2 linked regions of the Saccharomyces cerevisiae S288C genome follow. Changing the gene in region 2 together with the main gene of any one other region gives a genetic interaction. Each region holds a gene or a part of one and is shown on either strand. Other genes may lie near its edges.

The links.
Region 1: mutations in MPF1 (region 2) and VPS68 together harm fitness more than expected from each alone (negative genetic interaction), as found in Saccharomyces cerevisiae (one large-scale study listed by BioGRID).

What each region holds. Positions count from the first base shown.
Region 1 is NC_001147.6:75,788-78,683, forward strand, and holds VPS68 (Vps68p), read left to right. Parts: upstream 1-1,772; coding exon 1,773-2,327; downstream 2,328-2,896. Other genes in the region: Mg(2+) transporter ALR1, read left to right, coding at 1-1,192; serine/threonine protein kinase YGK3, read right to left, coding at 2,565-2,896. UniProt on the Saccharomyces cerevisiae protein: Involved in vacuolar protein sorting.
Region 2 is NC_001146.8:352,260-356,856, forward strand, and holds MPF1 (Mpf1p), read right to left. Parts: upstream 2,784-4,597; coding exon 561-2,783; downstream 1-560. Other genes in the region: MFA2 (mating pheromone a), read left to right, coding at 155-271; YNL143C (uncharacterized protein), read right to left, coding at 4,535-4,597.

The DNA.
Region 1 (2,896 bases), on a different chromosome or scaffold from region 2:
TGATGATGAAATGCGTTGCATAGCAAAGGCGTTTGGTATCCATCCATTGACTGCAGAAGATATCAGAATGCAAGAAACACGTGAAAAGGTGGAACTTTTCAAATCGTATTACTTCGTTTGTTTCCATACCTTTGAAAATGATAAAGAATCAGAGGATTTCCTGGAACCTATTAACGTTTACATTGTTGTCTGTAGGTCAGGTGTTTTAACATTCCATTTTGGCCCAATATCTCATTGTGCTAATGTCAGAAGGCGTGTAAGACAGTTACGTGACTATGTCAATGTCAATTCAGATTGGTTATGTTATGCTTTAATCGATGACATTACTGATAGTTTCGCTCCTGTAATTCAATCTATTGAATATGAAGCAGATGCAATCGAAGATTCTGTGTTCATGGCTCGTGACATGGATTTTGCAGCAATGTTACAAAGAATTGGTGAAAGTAGGCGTAAGACAATGACGTTGATGAGACTTCTTAGTGGTAAGGCTGATGTTATCAAAATGTTTGCCAAAAGATGCCAAGATGAAGCTAATGGTATTGGACCGGCACTAACATCTCAAATAAATATTGCTAACTTACAGGCAAGGCAGGATAACGCCAGTCATATCAAAAATAATAGTTCGACAACTGTACCAAATAATTATGCGCCCACCACATCACAACCGAGGGGGGATATCGCCCTATACTTGGGTGATATTCAAGATCATTTGTTGACAATGTTTCAAAATTTGCTGGCGTACGAAAAAATTTTTTCTAGATCCCATACAAACTACTTAGCTCAACTGCAAGTGGAATCATTTAATTCTAATAATAAAGTGACAGAAATGTTGGGTAAAGTCACCATGATAGGTACAATGCTAGTTCCATTAAATGTTATCACTGGTCTTTTCGGTATGAATGTTAAAGTTCCGGGGGAGAATTCCAGTATCGCGTGGTGGTTTGGGATATTGGGTGTGCTGCTTTTGCTGGCCGTCCTTGGTTGGTTCTTGGCCAGCTATTGGATTAAAAGAATAGACCCTCCTGCAACACTTAACGAGGCCGCTGAAAGTGGAGCCAAATCGGTTATTTCGAGCTTCTTGCCAAAAAGAAACAAGAGATTCAATGATCGTTCCAAAAATATAAATGTAAGAGCCGGTCCTTCAAACAAATCAGTTGCAAGTCTTCCTAGTAGATATAGCCGCTACGACTGATTAGTGATGTGATAAAGATAGAAGATTTAAGTCACAGAGGCGTGCATCTACGATTTTGGCGTTTCACATTTTTTACACTTAAATTTTAGTGATCTAGCCGTGACCTTGGCAGCAGTTTCCAAAATCATTCCATGACCATGTCATGCTTAAGAACGTTAGACCCAGAACAAGTGGACCTGTATTCTAACTCTTCACTCTTGGGCAAAGATAATAGTATTATCTTTTACCCCATTTTTTGTATGTTTTTTCGTTTATTGAGTTTGGCGTTTCCTATTTAGAAATAGTACAATCCGGTCAATCATTCGATAGTGAAATATATATATTTAACTAGGAAAATTAGTAAAACCTCATTTAAAGATCATTCACCTTGATATATACTACTATTGACCTTTTGTTAATGACCATTTTCGTAAAAATGAACTGCGATTCTCTTCTGGAATTTGTTACCCTACCTTATTCACTAAATCAGAAATAATAATGTGCAGCGCCCCTTTCATAAAGAAGGCAAGTATAGGGCATATAGTTAAAGGTCAGAACTCTTTATCCCCAACTACAAGATCAATTAGAAAATCACATCATCATGGAGGCAGATGATCATGTTAGCTTATTTCGCTTCCCCTTCAAGATTCCCACCTTTCGTGGTATAAGAAAAGGTGGGGTCTATCTTTCAGGTGCTCTCTATGCTCTAGGCTTTTGGATATTTCTAGACGCAGTGCTCTATTCTAGATATTCCAATGCATCAGATGTTCATGTTACGTTCATTGACTGGATTCCTTTTCTTTGCAGCACACTGGGAACATTGATTGTGAATTCTATTGAAAAGAATAGATTATTGCAGGGAGCTTTATCGTCAGATGGTGGTGCCTTCGGTAGTGGTGTAGGCGATTTAGATTCAAGCATGGCATGGCAAGCTCGAACCGTTTTATTTTTTGGCTTTGCTTTATTAGCTGGTGGGCTATCAGGCTCCATTGTCGTGTTGATCATCAAATTTTTAGTCAAGGATTACAATACCTATCCAACTTTGGGGATGGGAGTAAACAATGTGTTGGGGAATGTATGCATATTATTGAGTTGCGTTGTTTTATGGATAGCCCAAAATGTTGAAGATGAATATTCATATTCTTTGACGCTCTAAGTTAAGTTGACCAATATTTTCGAGGCCAATTAAGGCGATCTGATTTAGATAAAAAACGTATATATGTATTTATCAACACTTTTTCGAAAACAAAAAGATTTTTAGATAGGAGTATGTACATTCCAATATATTTGTAATGTTTCACATAAAAGGACAGTCTGAGAAAAAATGCAAGTAATGTGGTAAGAAGGAAACATAAGATGACGGCAAATGCAAAAATGAGGTAAGAATCAGCAACTAATCCAGAGATGGCACAATCAAGTTGTAATACTCTCCAAGAGCCCTTTTCTCCGATGCACTAAAATTAAAGAGGTCTGGTAGGTGAACCGGCATACTCGAACCTCTTGGCAAAAAATAGGTTTCATTTCTTAACGCGTCAAAAAATTCGTGAGCCATCAATTGTCTAGCATCGCACCTTTCAGTGGCATCATACGTCAACACCTTTAGCAAGAATTCCACATCAAAAAATTCTATAGAGGGAAACCAATGCATAAACTTCTTGAATTTTTGGTCATTTAAGCTATCCTGTAACTCTTGAGAATTTTTTATAGAACTTTTAGGAAAGCGGC
Region 2 (4,597 bases):
AAAAGCTGTTGCATTACCACGTAATTTTGTATATAAATATCTGATAAATAACCATTTTATTTCCATCCACTTCTTCTGTCGTTCATCCGTTCATTGACATCACTAGAGACACCAGCGAGCTATCATCTTCATACAACAATAACTACCAACCTTAATGCAACCGATCACCACTGCTTCCACACAAGCCACTCAGAAGGATAAATCCTCTGAAAAGAAAGACAACTATATAATCAAGGGCCTCTTCTGGGATCCCGCCTGTGTTATCGCTTAATTTTTGACGACAACCAAGAGGTCAAATCAATATCTACCCTTTCATTTATTACGTGTTGCTGGCAAACTAATTTATTCCAATTCTCTCATCATTAGCTCACCCTTTCCATACTTTTTCATACTTTTATACATATGTATTTGTAGTTATCACTTTAACAGATTTTTTCATGTTTTTCTTTTCTGATACGCCTTTCCCTCCGCAGGAAATGAAAGATGAACCACCCATTACATTCGATTTTTTTTTTAATTATATTTTTGACTATTATTTAATCATTAAAAACACATATATTTCATAAATTCGTAAGGTCGTTAGTTCTATCGTAAAAGTGAAAAAGTTTTGAGCCAGTTTTCAAAAACCCGCAGGATCCCACTATGTATGGCTTTAAATAATGGTTTTTCACGTGCATCAAGTCCGTACTATCTTCACCACTATAAACTCTTATAGGTGGATTATTCGTTTCGAATGCTGGTGGCAGTGCCGGTTTGAAAATAATCTTACCTACCCATGGGTGGTCTTCCGTTAACGGTTTGATGCATCTTAATGAGTCTTTGATATATCTTTTCCTTGAAACTAGTTGTGTCGCCGGTGCCCACTTCGAATCGTTACTGGATTGATTCTTATTTCCACATTTTAGTGACAATTTCTTTGGAAAATCATGATTTAAACAACCAGTCACGGAAAAGCTTTTCGTACTGAATATTGTACCGTACTCAACGTCCGCATTCTCATAGCGAGATTCTCTTTCATCCAAATATACCAATCTATTGATGTCATCATCCTCAACATATCCATCTTCATCATCCTCTTCGTAATTAGCATCGTCTTCGTCTTCGTCATCATCTTCATCTCCATTTACATCTTCATTGCCACGGTTTAACTTTTCTTCACGATTCGTACGCTCAGCAGAATTCGAAATAGTTGACCTTCCTGTTCCCTCGTATACCGGTTCAAAATTATTAATTTTCAACACTGACCGATCACAGCGCAAAGGATCTATAGGGTTGGAATTCGATCTACTTCTGAAGTTTTCATGGATGGATGTTTGTGCCGTTAAAACAGAATGTGCTGTGGGAGAAAAAGTGGAAGATAGAACAGAAGTATTGGTATTAGTAGTACTACCATTGTCATCGATTTCTTCTTGAACACTATTCAGTTCCTTCGATCTCATTTTTTGTCCAATGTCCATATTAGAGTTTTTTCTCGAACTGGAATCTGTTTTAAAGAAATTTCTTAGTTTTGATGTAAATAAGCCACAAAAATCAGTTTGAGAACTCTCCCCTGCCAATGAACCAGAGTCATTGGGCCCATTGGAGTCATGACTCGCATCGGATACAGAGGGAGGTAGCAAGCTTAAACTTCTTGATCTTGATTTGTTTGTCGGACGTTCGTTGCCGGTGGCCACTTTTGTTACAACAGAAGAGGTGTGTGATCTTCTTAAAAGTAAAGAGTGGGAGCGAGAATCATTTCTATCACTATTTTGTCTGCTCTTGTTTTTGTTTTTGTTCTTATTGTGTTGCTTAAATCTTCTTGCCCTCGGATGTCTCCTTCTGGGAACGCTTCTATAGGTGGGCATTTCCCTCAATTCCAGATCCAAGGACAGGGATATACCCATGTTCAAATACATAGCCCAATAGATCAATTCGTCTACATGAGAAAACTGCACTAGAAACTGTTGTCCCTCACAACGCATTCTTAAAACAAAATCTCTAGAGGAATAATCTATAGGCAGACCAACTTTGGCACATTGCAGGGAGTAACTCTTAAAGAGGCGCTCATCTGATAAAAATTTGTGCTCGTCTCGTGCTATTTCCCCGCATATCCTTTCCTTGTCATATTTATCGAATTGGTAAGTGGATTTCGTCGTGAACGCATTTAATAACGACCGAGCCGAATGATGGCGATCGCTAGCAGTTTTGGAATGGTGGGAATGGTCAAACATGTCACCACCACGATAGTTTTTAATATGCCTGGTTAATGAATCGTCAATAGAATAAAAGTTTATCTGCGTAGAGTTTATTTGAAGAATAAAGTTGTTCCATAATCGAGAAGAAGCATTTTCAAAGGGCGATAGTTTTTCCATCTTCATAGAAACCACAGTATAGTGTTCTACAGACGGTGTATAACTGGGAGGTTTCACAGAAGTGAGGCACGGACGACAATGCTCATATATAGGGTACCTAATGACTTTAGACGGATTCGCAAAATCATAACACGGAGGTTCCACTGGGTACGGATCTATGCAGTAAAGCACGTTTTTGTCAGCAACATCAACATCTACTCCGGATTGTGGCTCCACTATTTCGTTCATGATGTTTGTGTTAATGTCTGTTATGCTATCGATATGGTTAAAAGTCACTTTCGGAAGCGGAGAATCCAGAATAGAATTACTAGTAGTACTGGAACAAAGAAACTCGTCGCCCATGGATATGGATGAGGCTGTCTGTGAAAGCTTCAGCCCCGTACTATCCATACCGTCGTGGTCTATTGTCATTTCAAAGATGCTGGAGGACATTTTCTGAATAGGTCCGTTTATCTCTTCTGCTGTCTGCGAAAACAACGTAAAAAAATAGTGCTTAGTGTTACTGCCTGTGTAACAACTAGTGCCAAAGTTACAAAGAAACTTCACTAACAGTTTTTGCAATTTACCAAGAAAGCACCAACAAAATAAATAAATAGCATGCCTGTATATATTACGAAAAGTCCTTCAACTACGTCTTCCACTTGCTCTATCCCTTGGCGGAAAACAGAATACATGCAAATTTTAGAGAATTTTTCAAGATGCCTGCCCCCCACATTTTCTTACTTGATCAAGAGCAGATCTGTTCCTTTGCGCAGGGGGTTGCATGGGGGAGAAACTGGCCGGAAGCAGCCGAAAGAAAGTTCGCAAAAAGATAATGGGGACAGTATTAGAGAAAACGGCGTGGAGGGGTATGGAGGAAACAGTTAGCATAGGTAACGAAAAACCGCAGCAAAATAATTCTCTCTTTTTTTCTTTTGACTTAGTTGTGGGACCCGGATCATTCGGTACTGCATCTTATTCCCGTGCCAAGGTCTCTGGGTGTTGCTGATTTCCGGGTATCCAGAGCTCTATCTGCTTCCGTACCCAGTGAGTGAGCTAAAATAAAAAAGGGGCCTCGGCGGAATTTGAATTCGGGTTACGTTTCCCACGGAGCCCCGGATAGAAAAGATTAGTTTCAGGTACATGTGTCAAATGAGGATAAATCTCAAACACCCATGTACCGAAAATCGATGTGTTGGTTATATTACAAGGTTGGAATAGACCACGGTGATAAGACGTGGAATTTTTGACTGACCATGCGACTCTGAAGGTGTTAACCGGAGGAATTCACGTAATTTACATCTCAAGAACAGCAGAACAAAGATCGAGTATATGATGAAATTTCGTTTTACATGAATAAAGTCATATTTTAACTCACTGTGCACGGATTAAGGGCTGTGATTTAGTGGGACGAGTGGTTCTACACTACTCAAGAAGTCACGCTGTCATTTGATGGAATTACAGTGCTTATTAGGAGCCGTGTAGCTTAGTGTGAATTGATGGAAGCTTTCGAGTTTCATAGAACATATCTGGTGAATGTATATGAGTTTTTCATTCCTTTTACGAGACGCAACTTTCCGCGGTTACGGAACTGTTGTTTTGTTTTACATCTTTTCATTTTTCATACATTTTATTGAGGCGTAGAAATGAAATGGGTAGAGCGGCACATGGATGTAACAATCTCCATTATTCACGTCGAGCCGATACCCGCTTCTGTTGACGCTCTGTTAAGCATAGAACCTACGAGATTTGTGCTAAAGGACGTTGGCAAGGAAGAAAACTATTGTTGATGACAGGATTTATAGCAGTAAATATTTTTTTCTTTTTTGCGAAATTATGTACGTTTCTCATCCAAGAAGAATCCTGTTAATATTTAAATTTCTGCTAGTCATTATCATATTGCAATGGCTTTTATTAGTGAAAGCCACTGTCAACAGTAACTGAGCTACTCCCTCCAATGTTGTCTAACTCTATGCTCTTTTTGGCGTCTGAATGAGCCATAACGAGGGAAATAACTGTATCAGGAATACTAACAGAATACAGATTGGATGCACTGGTGCTGGTGAGTTTTCTTTTTCTGATATTATTGGATAATATTTTCAGCTATAGACTATCATCATTCAGCATTGGTCACGCTAAAATATACGTTCCATGCATACGTGATAGCCTACTCGGTTGTCAACTTCATTTTATAGGCTGCCTGGTCACCGATTACCGCCCCGCTCAGCAGGACGGTTTAAGCTTCTGTTCTTGGAAACGACGTAATT